Linked DNA regions of Ovis aries. The protein of the gene in region 2 purifies or fractionates together with the protein of the main gene of each other region. This does not show direct contact. Links are inferred from orthologs where the notes say so. Each region holds a gene or a part of one and is shown on either strand. Other genes may lie near its edges.

Region 1 (3,814 bases), on a different chromosome or scaffold from region 2:
AAGTCACATCTTACTTGTGTATCTAAAATCGGACGTTACTGGTATCTTGCTCTTCTTAATCTCCTATGAAAGCAAAGCCAGACTGTGGAGAGTAACGATTTCTAAGCCGGGCGTGGAGCCGTCACCACGGACGCACGCTGGACTTGGAGGGAAGCAGGTCACTGCTGGCCAGGACGGGGCACAAAGCGGACTTGCAGGAACGGAATGAGCAGACACAAATCTGCTTTACTCACTTCCAACAACCTTTCCTAAGTTTGGGATGATGCTCATAAGACAAATTACTACAATTCAAAAGCAACAGAAACCAACTCAATTTTCCCATCGCAAAAATGAAAAGGCCTTGTATCAATGTTAAATTTTCTGATTTTGATGATGTCATCAAGGTGATGTAAGGGAACATTCTAAAGGATTTTGAGGTAGAGGGTTATAGTGTCCACAATTTACTCTCGAATGGTCACACACACACACACACACACACAGCAAAAATGCACCAGAGAGCGAGCAAGAATGTGGTAAAATGTTAGGTGACAAAAATGAGTCAAGGGTATATATGACTATTCATTGTACATTCTTGTTACCTTCTTGCAAGTGTGAAAAGTCTTTTAATTAAAAAAAGAAGAAATAAAACTACTTAATAGAAAAGACTATTGCACCTTTACTACCATTTAAAGGCACCAGATGGGGAGAAATAAAAACAGTATCTCGATGGAGATAACAAATAAAATGGAACAAAGAATTCAAAACATTTCTAAAATTAGTCTATCTTCATTTTAAAATAATTATTCCATATGGTATCTGGGGGCAAATCATTCTTCTCACAAACAGGGAACATCTGTTATATACAAACCTCATAAGAGGCTTGAGTATTAAACATAATGAAACAGCAAAGTCTCACACTAACAATTTTCAGACTATTCAAGGCAGCAGTTATCCCTGGCTCTGCAGAGCCAAGATACCAAGGCAAAAAATGTGAAAGTTAAACAACATCTAGAAAAACGCTGGTTACACATGGCCTGTTCAAATTTCTGGATATATGCAAAAATTTCACTCAGAAATTGAGCATGAGAGTTAAATTCAAAAATCCCAACTCTTCTAATGTAATTTTATCACTTTTTTTTTTAGTTATTAAAAAAAAATATTCATCTAGCGTTTATAGCTAAAATACAAATGTACAAAGCTGACATAAAAAGTGTAGCTACTATTTACAGAACAGGCATTGGGTCAGATGGTTTACATACATCATTTTTAATCATCATACCCTGCATGCATGGTGGGCATTACTGACACCATTTCAGAGTGAGGAAATCAAGGCTGAGAGAGGAACCTTAAATGTCCAGGATCCCTCAGCGACTAAACGGCAAACAGAGACTCTGTCACTTAAAAACTCTCTGCACGTACCAGGCCTGTTCCCCAAGGCAGGCCTCCAGTCTTCCTTCTGCCTGGGAGCCCCTTTCACTCAAACCTCACCTTCTTCACGAACCTACTGTAACCTTCCTGTTTAACAGTATTATCTGGCTTCCACCCCAACATTCTCAAGTCCCCTTACACTGCATTAATTTTCTTTTAACTTTCTGTTTTGAGATAATTGTCAATTCAGAGGCAGATGTAAGAAATAATAAACCAAGTTTTCGTACACTGTTAACTCAGTTTCCCCCAAAGGTAGTATCTTGCATAATTGTGGTATAATATCACTTACATTATGTTTTTTTCTCCTAGTATTTATCACTTTCTAACATAAAGCTGTTGTTATTGTCTGTCCACTCCCATTAAAATATAAACTCCTTGTAGGCAAGACACTTAAGTCTAAATTTTGTTCACTGCTATATCCCAAGCAGACAAAACAGGCCTAATCCCCAGAAGGAAATCAACAGATATTTGTAGAAGGAATCAAAGCACATTGTGCTGCCTCCTCTATCAGGAAATAAACCAGCTCTTTTAGAGACTACTTTGGTAAATAAGAGGATTCTGAAACATCAGGGAAACATTACACTCACCCATGGTGACATAAGGCAACTTATCAGTTGATCCATGAGGATAGATGCTGTAGAGGTGAGGTCCAGTAACATCTACTCCCCCCAAAACTAGGGCTGCACCAATGTAACCTTGATACCTGGTGATCAGAGCATGCATAAGAAAAAAAAAATGAGTCTACATTGCATCACTATAACTTACTCAAAAGTTGCACGAGAAGTCAGACAACAAAAAGTTTTTCTTTCACTACTACTGCTTCATTAAATAGCTACTGTTCTGATGGGGAAAAAAATAAGGAATGGAGCAAACATATTTGAACATCTATCAGTCAAAAAAAACTGTAAATTGTATGAAGCACCCATGTGCCTTACATCATCTCTGCCTCACAACTCCCTTCAAAAGAAGACACTATAGTTCTTATTGTAGAGAAGGAAAAACCAACCCAAAGTCATTAGAAAGTCTCAGAGCCAAGCGTGGCTTACTCCGAAGATCATGAATACCCCTCCCATCAGACCTCTCTGTGATTCGAAAATAAGGTCCCTTCCAAGTCAATGGTGAAATGTCGTTAAACTAGAACTGTTCAAATTATCAACCTCACCACAGGAAAATCACTTTTGTCAAAATACCTTTCCCTTGAATAAATCCACAAAATTATGGCAGATAAGAGCTCATACTGAATAAAAGAAAAAAGTACTTCATTATGCAGGGAAGTGAACCATGAAATAACTCCATGACAGTTTATAAACCCATTGCTACTGTCCACAGTTTAAAGCCATCTCTCTCAGGAACATGGGAGAGACATTTTCCACCTGACCCCATCTGTTTAATTCTGCACATATTTGCTCCTTTGGACCCTCTACTTGGTTGGTTTTACACTTCTACAGATTTCTTTCCCTATATATGGATCAATTTTTTTTACCATTAGAACTGCTATACTGGATAAACATGCTGGCTTTAAAGTTCTCCAGTGTAAGCCTTTGGCTCTTTGGGAAGAAAAATGAAACTAAAACATGTTGAATTTGCCTGATGATACAATCATTAAAATTGATACAAATAAATTAACACAAAAACCAAAGTCCTAATTTTAGACTGCCTGAGACAGTTACCTATCAGGAAGTGCTCTAGGTCAAGTCCAATACTTCCTGCATCCCTTGATTACCAATTCATTACTTCAAATCTTCCATTTATAAGTGAAAAAATAAAGAGCAGGGAAAGATTTTAGAAGCAGTCTCAAGAGGGAAGAGAGGCCCAGACAGGGGAAGAAATTGGTCCTAAGCCACATGAGCTGGCAACAGGTTCAAGAGTAGATCTTGGAACTCTGGGGTGAGAAGCCAGAGAATCACCAGACCCACCACTCCCACCCTAGCCCAGTGCTTGATCCACTATATATATATATATATATATATATATATATATCTCCTGCCAAATAGACTGTTCAGTTAAAGTCAACAATAACCAGCTAGTTTCCTTCCAAGCTAAAACATAATCTGCTTGATGCCTTTAAAAGAGTCTAAGCTATTTTGGCAAGTCAATGAAATCCTTAAAAATTGATCCAGAAATTCTATTTCCAGGAATCTAATTCTAAAAATATAAAAGGATAAATATGCAGAAATGAATTCATAAGAATATTTACTGCAGTAACTGTTTATGATGCTAGAAAAGTGGAAACAGAATTACCTAAACTAATACACCTAGCTATACAGCAGAATACTACGCAATCATTAAAGATCAGGCCATGAGTTTCATACACAACTGATGGTAGGACAGCTTAGAACAATCTTTCTCGGCTACAATCCTGGCAATATGTATTAAAACGTTAAATGCTCCTATCTTTGACCCAGCA
Region 2 (4,278 bases):
TCTGTAAGCTTTCTGAAAATCTACCTCCAGAAGTATATGTTTATAATTCATATAAATAAACTGGAAAATAGCAACATAGCTAATTATCTATACAAACACAAATAGTAACATAGCTAATTATCTATACAAACACAATACTGGCTCTAAGATAATGAATGCGTAAAATGCCTAAAGAGCAACACAAATCTAGTAGAACATAAATATTTCAGTGGAGCTGTAGAAAGTCACTGCATATCTTCAATAAACCCAGAAATATAAAACACACACACACACAAACCCCAAACCTTCAGGTTTCAATAATTCTGGAACTAATTGTGAATACCAGTTGGTTAAGTTCCTGCAGCACCAACATTACAAAAAACTAAAGTCAATAGCTATTTTATGGAAAATTTTGGCTGAAAACATTACACAGCTGCATTTTCACTTCCATCCTTTAACTTATAAGTACAAAATAAGCAGTACTATTCAGTAATAGCAATCCACAGGTGTTGTCAATTTTGAGGGCACTGAATTTCTCATTGAAGCTTGGTATCTCTTGCACCTTTTAAGAATTTATCATGTAGCATATTTACACATATAATTAAGTGCCTTGAACTAAAACCATTTTCTGCCACAATTTCAAAAAGCTTGGGAACTACATTTTTAAAATGAAAATTCAAGATGTAGAAAACTTCCTCACTCAAAGGTACCCATTGATTAATAATGGATTCCATTTACTGACCACCAATTAAATACTATTTAATCTTCACATCTTTGTAAAACAGGTACATAGCAAATTAAGTTAGAGCCGAAAATGGGAGCTCAGGTTTATTTAATTAACCAACACCAAGTAGTCCTGTATGGATGTGAGAGTTGGACTATAAAGAAAGCTGAGCCCAGAAGAATTGATGCTTTTGAAGTGTGGTGTTGGAGAAGATTCTTTAGAGTCCCTTGGACTGCAAGGAGATCCAACCAGTCCATCCTAAAGGAAATCAGTCCTGAATATCAGTGGATGGACTGATGCTGAAGCTCAAACTCCAATGCTTGGCCACCTGAAGTGAAGAAATGACTCACTGGAAAAGACCCTGATGCTGGGAAAGATTGAAGGCAGGAGGAGAAGGGGAAAACAGAGGATGAGATGGTTGGATGGCATCACCGACTCAACGGACATGAGTTTAAATAAGTAAGCTCTGGACAGGGAGGCCTGGCATGCTGCGGTCCACAGGGTCGCAAAGAGTAGGAAACGACTAAGCGACTGAACTGAAGATCCCCGACATCCACCAAAACTGAATCAATTATTTTGAAAAATACAGACGGGCAGAAAGTTGCTACTGTAAATACAGCACTGTGACAACCTCAAAGGTGTACAGACTCACACTTCCAGAACACAAGAAGTAAGTTTACACTGAATGGCAATTTTTAGATCTTGGCATAAAGTTGTACTGATTTCAACACAGTGGCTTTTTGCAGTCACAAATACAGAGGATGACATGAGAATTTAACAGGTGAAGTTAAGAGTCGTTCAAGAGTTTACAGAAGAGAGTCAGAGTTTTTATTTTCTTTATTTCTCCTCTGAAAGGCTATTATTTGGGGGTTGGGTGCAGACTTCCGATCCTACAATTTCAAGGCTTCTAACACAGGGAACTTGCTAATCTGGAGTTAAGTTTGCGCCTGGATTTATTGGAAGGGCTCTAATGCAACAACCTTCACCACCAAAAAGGCCTCGAAGTGCAATCTACGTATGGGTGTGGGCTGGGTGGCGGGAGAACTGCTGCGAAACGATTCAAGATTTATGCAAATAAAATGGTCACCAATTCTGCGGGGAAGAGGGCAAAAAAGGCATTTTCACCACCCCTCGCACTCACACTCTGCGGCTGACGGAACCTGATACCATTTTATTTAAGGCTCATTATCTCCAGTTACCACCTCCAAGACCTCAGCGCCTAACCAGGTCCACGCAGGGATAGTGGCGACGCCTACCTCTCCCTCCCTAACCTGTGCACCCACACCCCGGAGCGCAGCTCGACCGCCCAGGCCACCCTGACCTCCCCTCCCCCTCTGGCCCCTCCACCGAGAGCGCCCAGGCCGAGGCCTCCGGTGCCCCGCTAACGCGTGCTTCACGCCATATGCCACTCGGGCTTCGGTGTCCGACCACTGCTTCCCCGCACTCCTGCCACAAAGCCCACAGCCCACCCTGAAGGTCCAGTGGGCCGCACGCTGCCGGGTCCCTGGCCCTACCCGCGCCTGGAACCCGCAGGCCTCATAAGCGCCCGGGTCCCTAGACCCCCCGCTCGCCATGCCCTCTCGGGTGCACCGCGGCTCTACCCGCTCAGGCTGCGCTCGAAGCTGAGGTCGGGGCCCCGCACGCGGTCCCGCCGCGCCACCCCCAGCCCAGGCCCTCCCGGCCCCTCGCGCGGACCGCCCCCGCTCCGTGCCGGGCCCAGCGCGCCCCGCCGCACTCACCGTCTCGTCGGGGTCGATGTCGATCTTGAAGGTCTGCTGCTGGAGGGTCTTCAGGGTGACCAGCATGGTGCCGTCGCGCAGCTCGGCTGCCGGGCCTGCTCCGGGTGCTGGCCGCTGGGCGGGGTCTGTGGCCTGGCGGGGCCCCGGGGTCGCCCGCGCTCCTCGCGCACTCGGGAGGAAGGCGGTGGGGGTGGGGGCTTGTCACATTCGCCCTGCAGAGCGGCCTCTCCCCCAGCCCTGGCTCCCGGCCGCGCCGCTGCCTCCGCGACTGCGGCCTTCCTCGCGAGCTCGGGCCGCCGTGCTTCCTCACGCGCCCGGTTACCAGCCACTGGGTCTGTAAGAAGCGCGAGGGGCTCTGCGAGAGCAGCAGAGAATCCGCTAGCTCACCACAGGCTGGTGGCCGCCATCATCGTGACTCGCCGAGACGCGCCCTCCCCCCACCACCCTAAAAACCTGGGGGGGATGGGGCCGGGACGGCGGAGCGCGCAGGCGTAGGGTGCGGCGAGGCTGTGCGCAGGCGCAGGCAAGAACTCCGCCCCGGAATTGGGGCGGGGCGGATTGCCGCTCTGGAATGTCGGCCGCCGGGATGGCGCGTGCGCAGGCGCAGTCAGTGGGCGTCTCGTGGGGGCGCTCCGGGCTTCCTCGTCGCGTCTGTTTCTGGGGCCTTCTCCCGCCCGCTGTCGCTCCGCCTACGTGCAGACTCCGCCCGGTTGCCTGAGTTGCGCAATCCGTAGCCGGGGAAGCGCTACGTGGAGACAGGACAGAGTGGCTGGCGAGCCTTGGAACTGGGGAACTAGAGGGCGGTAGGTCGGGGCGAGGTTTAAGTGAAAGGGTTGCGGGCAACCAGCGTAGAGGGCCAGCGCTTGCAGGGCGCTTGCTGTGTGGCTGAAGCCTTGTGCTGGGATTCATTTACCCTGAGAACACTGACTTAAGCGCTAGACGATGTTAGTGGACCTTGCGCCTAAATATAAGATCAAGTTATATCACTTCCCCAGGCAGATCTGTCCAATGGCACCTCATCTCATGAGTAAAAGTCAAAGTTCCTAGAGCTGGGTACACAGCCCCTACCTCTTACATCTTATTCTCTCGGCTTGCACTAGACGTTGTTGGTGGATGTTCAGCAAATGCTCTCAACCTGAGAGTCTACCTTCACCCTTGCTGTTTCCGCTTCGAGTCCACTTTTCCTCTATACCTGGGTGGCTCGACTTCTCACTTCCTTCCAATCTTTGCTCGGATGTCGCCTTCTCAGGGAGATCGACTCTGGATACCCGACTTAAAACAGCAACTTCCCTAGTTCCCTTACCCTGCTGTGTTTTCTATAGCACTTCAGTTCAGTCGCTCAGTCGTGTCCGACTCTCTGCGACCCCATGGACTGCAGCACGCCAGGCTTCCCTGTCCATCACCAACTCCCGGAGCTTACTCAAACTCAAGTCTATCGGGTCGGTGATGCCATCCAACCATCTCATCCTCTGTCGTCCCATTAATACATATTTATTGGGTTTATCATCTTTCTCCCTTCAGTAAATCACAGGCAAGCTGCACAGAGATTTTGTGTTGGGTGATGCACCCCTAGCACGAAGAAACATGCCTGGCGTGTAATGCAGGCACAGTAAATATTTTTGGAATCCATGAATGTGCGCTCGGTTTCTCATCAGTAAAATGGGAATAGTAATAGCACTCAATTTCATTGATTATTGGAGGGGAGTGTTGAATAATGTATGTAAAACCTTTGTACCAGGAACGCACAGAGTTAGCAGCCCATAAGTAGATAGCTATTTGTAGTATGCCCATTTCAGATAAGAAAACTGAAGTAAAGAGATGATGAGTAAGGTACCT

Evidence for each region.
Region 1: the proteins of RAD23B (region 2) and PSMB7 fractionate together in Homo sapiens (co-fractionation; 3 studies listed by BioGRID, with this or other methods). This does not show direct contact. The link is inferred for Ovis aries from reciprocal best matches to the Homo sapiens genes RAD23B and PSMB7.

What each region holds. Positions count from the first base shown.
Region 1 is NC_056056.1:11,429,922-11,433,735, reverse strand, and holds part of PSMB7 (proteasome subunit beta type-7), read right to left. Parts: intron 2,111-3,814; coding exon 1,995-2,110; intron 1-1,994. UniProt on the Homo sapiens protein: Component of the 20S core proteasome complex involved in the proteolytic degradation of most intracellular proteins. This complex plays numerous essential roles within the cell by associating with different regulatory particles.
Region 2 is NC_056055.1:15,850,814-15,855,091, forward strand, and holds the start of RAD23B (UV excision repair protein RAD23 homolog B), read right to left. Parts: upstream 2,864-4,278; 5' UTR 2,835-2,863; coding exon of another isoform or gene 2,661-2,834; 5' UTR 2,561-2,660; coding exon of another isoform or gene 2,509-2,560; coding exon 2,443-2,508; intron 1-2,442. Other genes in the region: uncharacterized protein LOC121818810, read left to right, coding at 2,507-2,560, 2,661-2,834, 2,938-3,245. UniProt on the Homo sapiens protein: Multiubiquitin chain receptor involved in modulation of proteasomal degradation. Binds to polyubiquitin chains.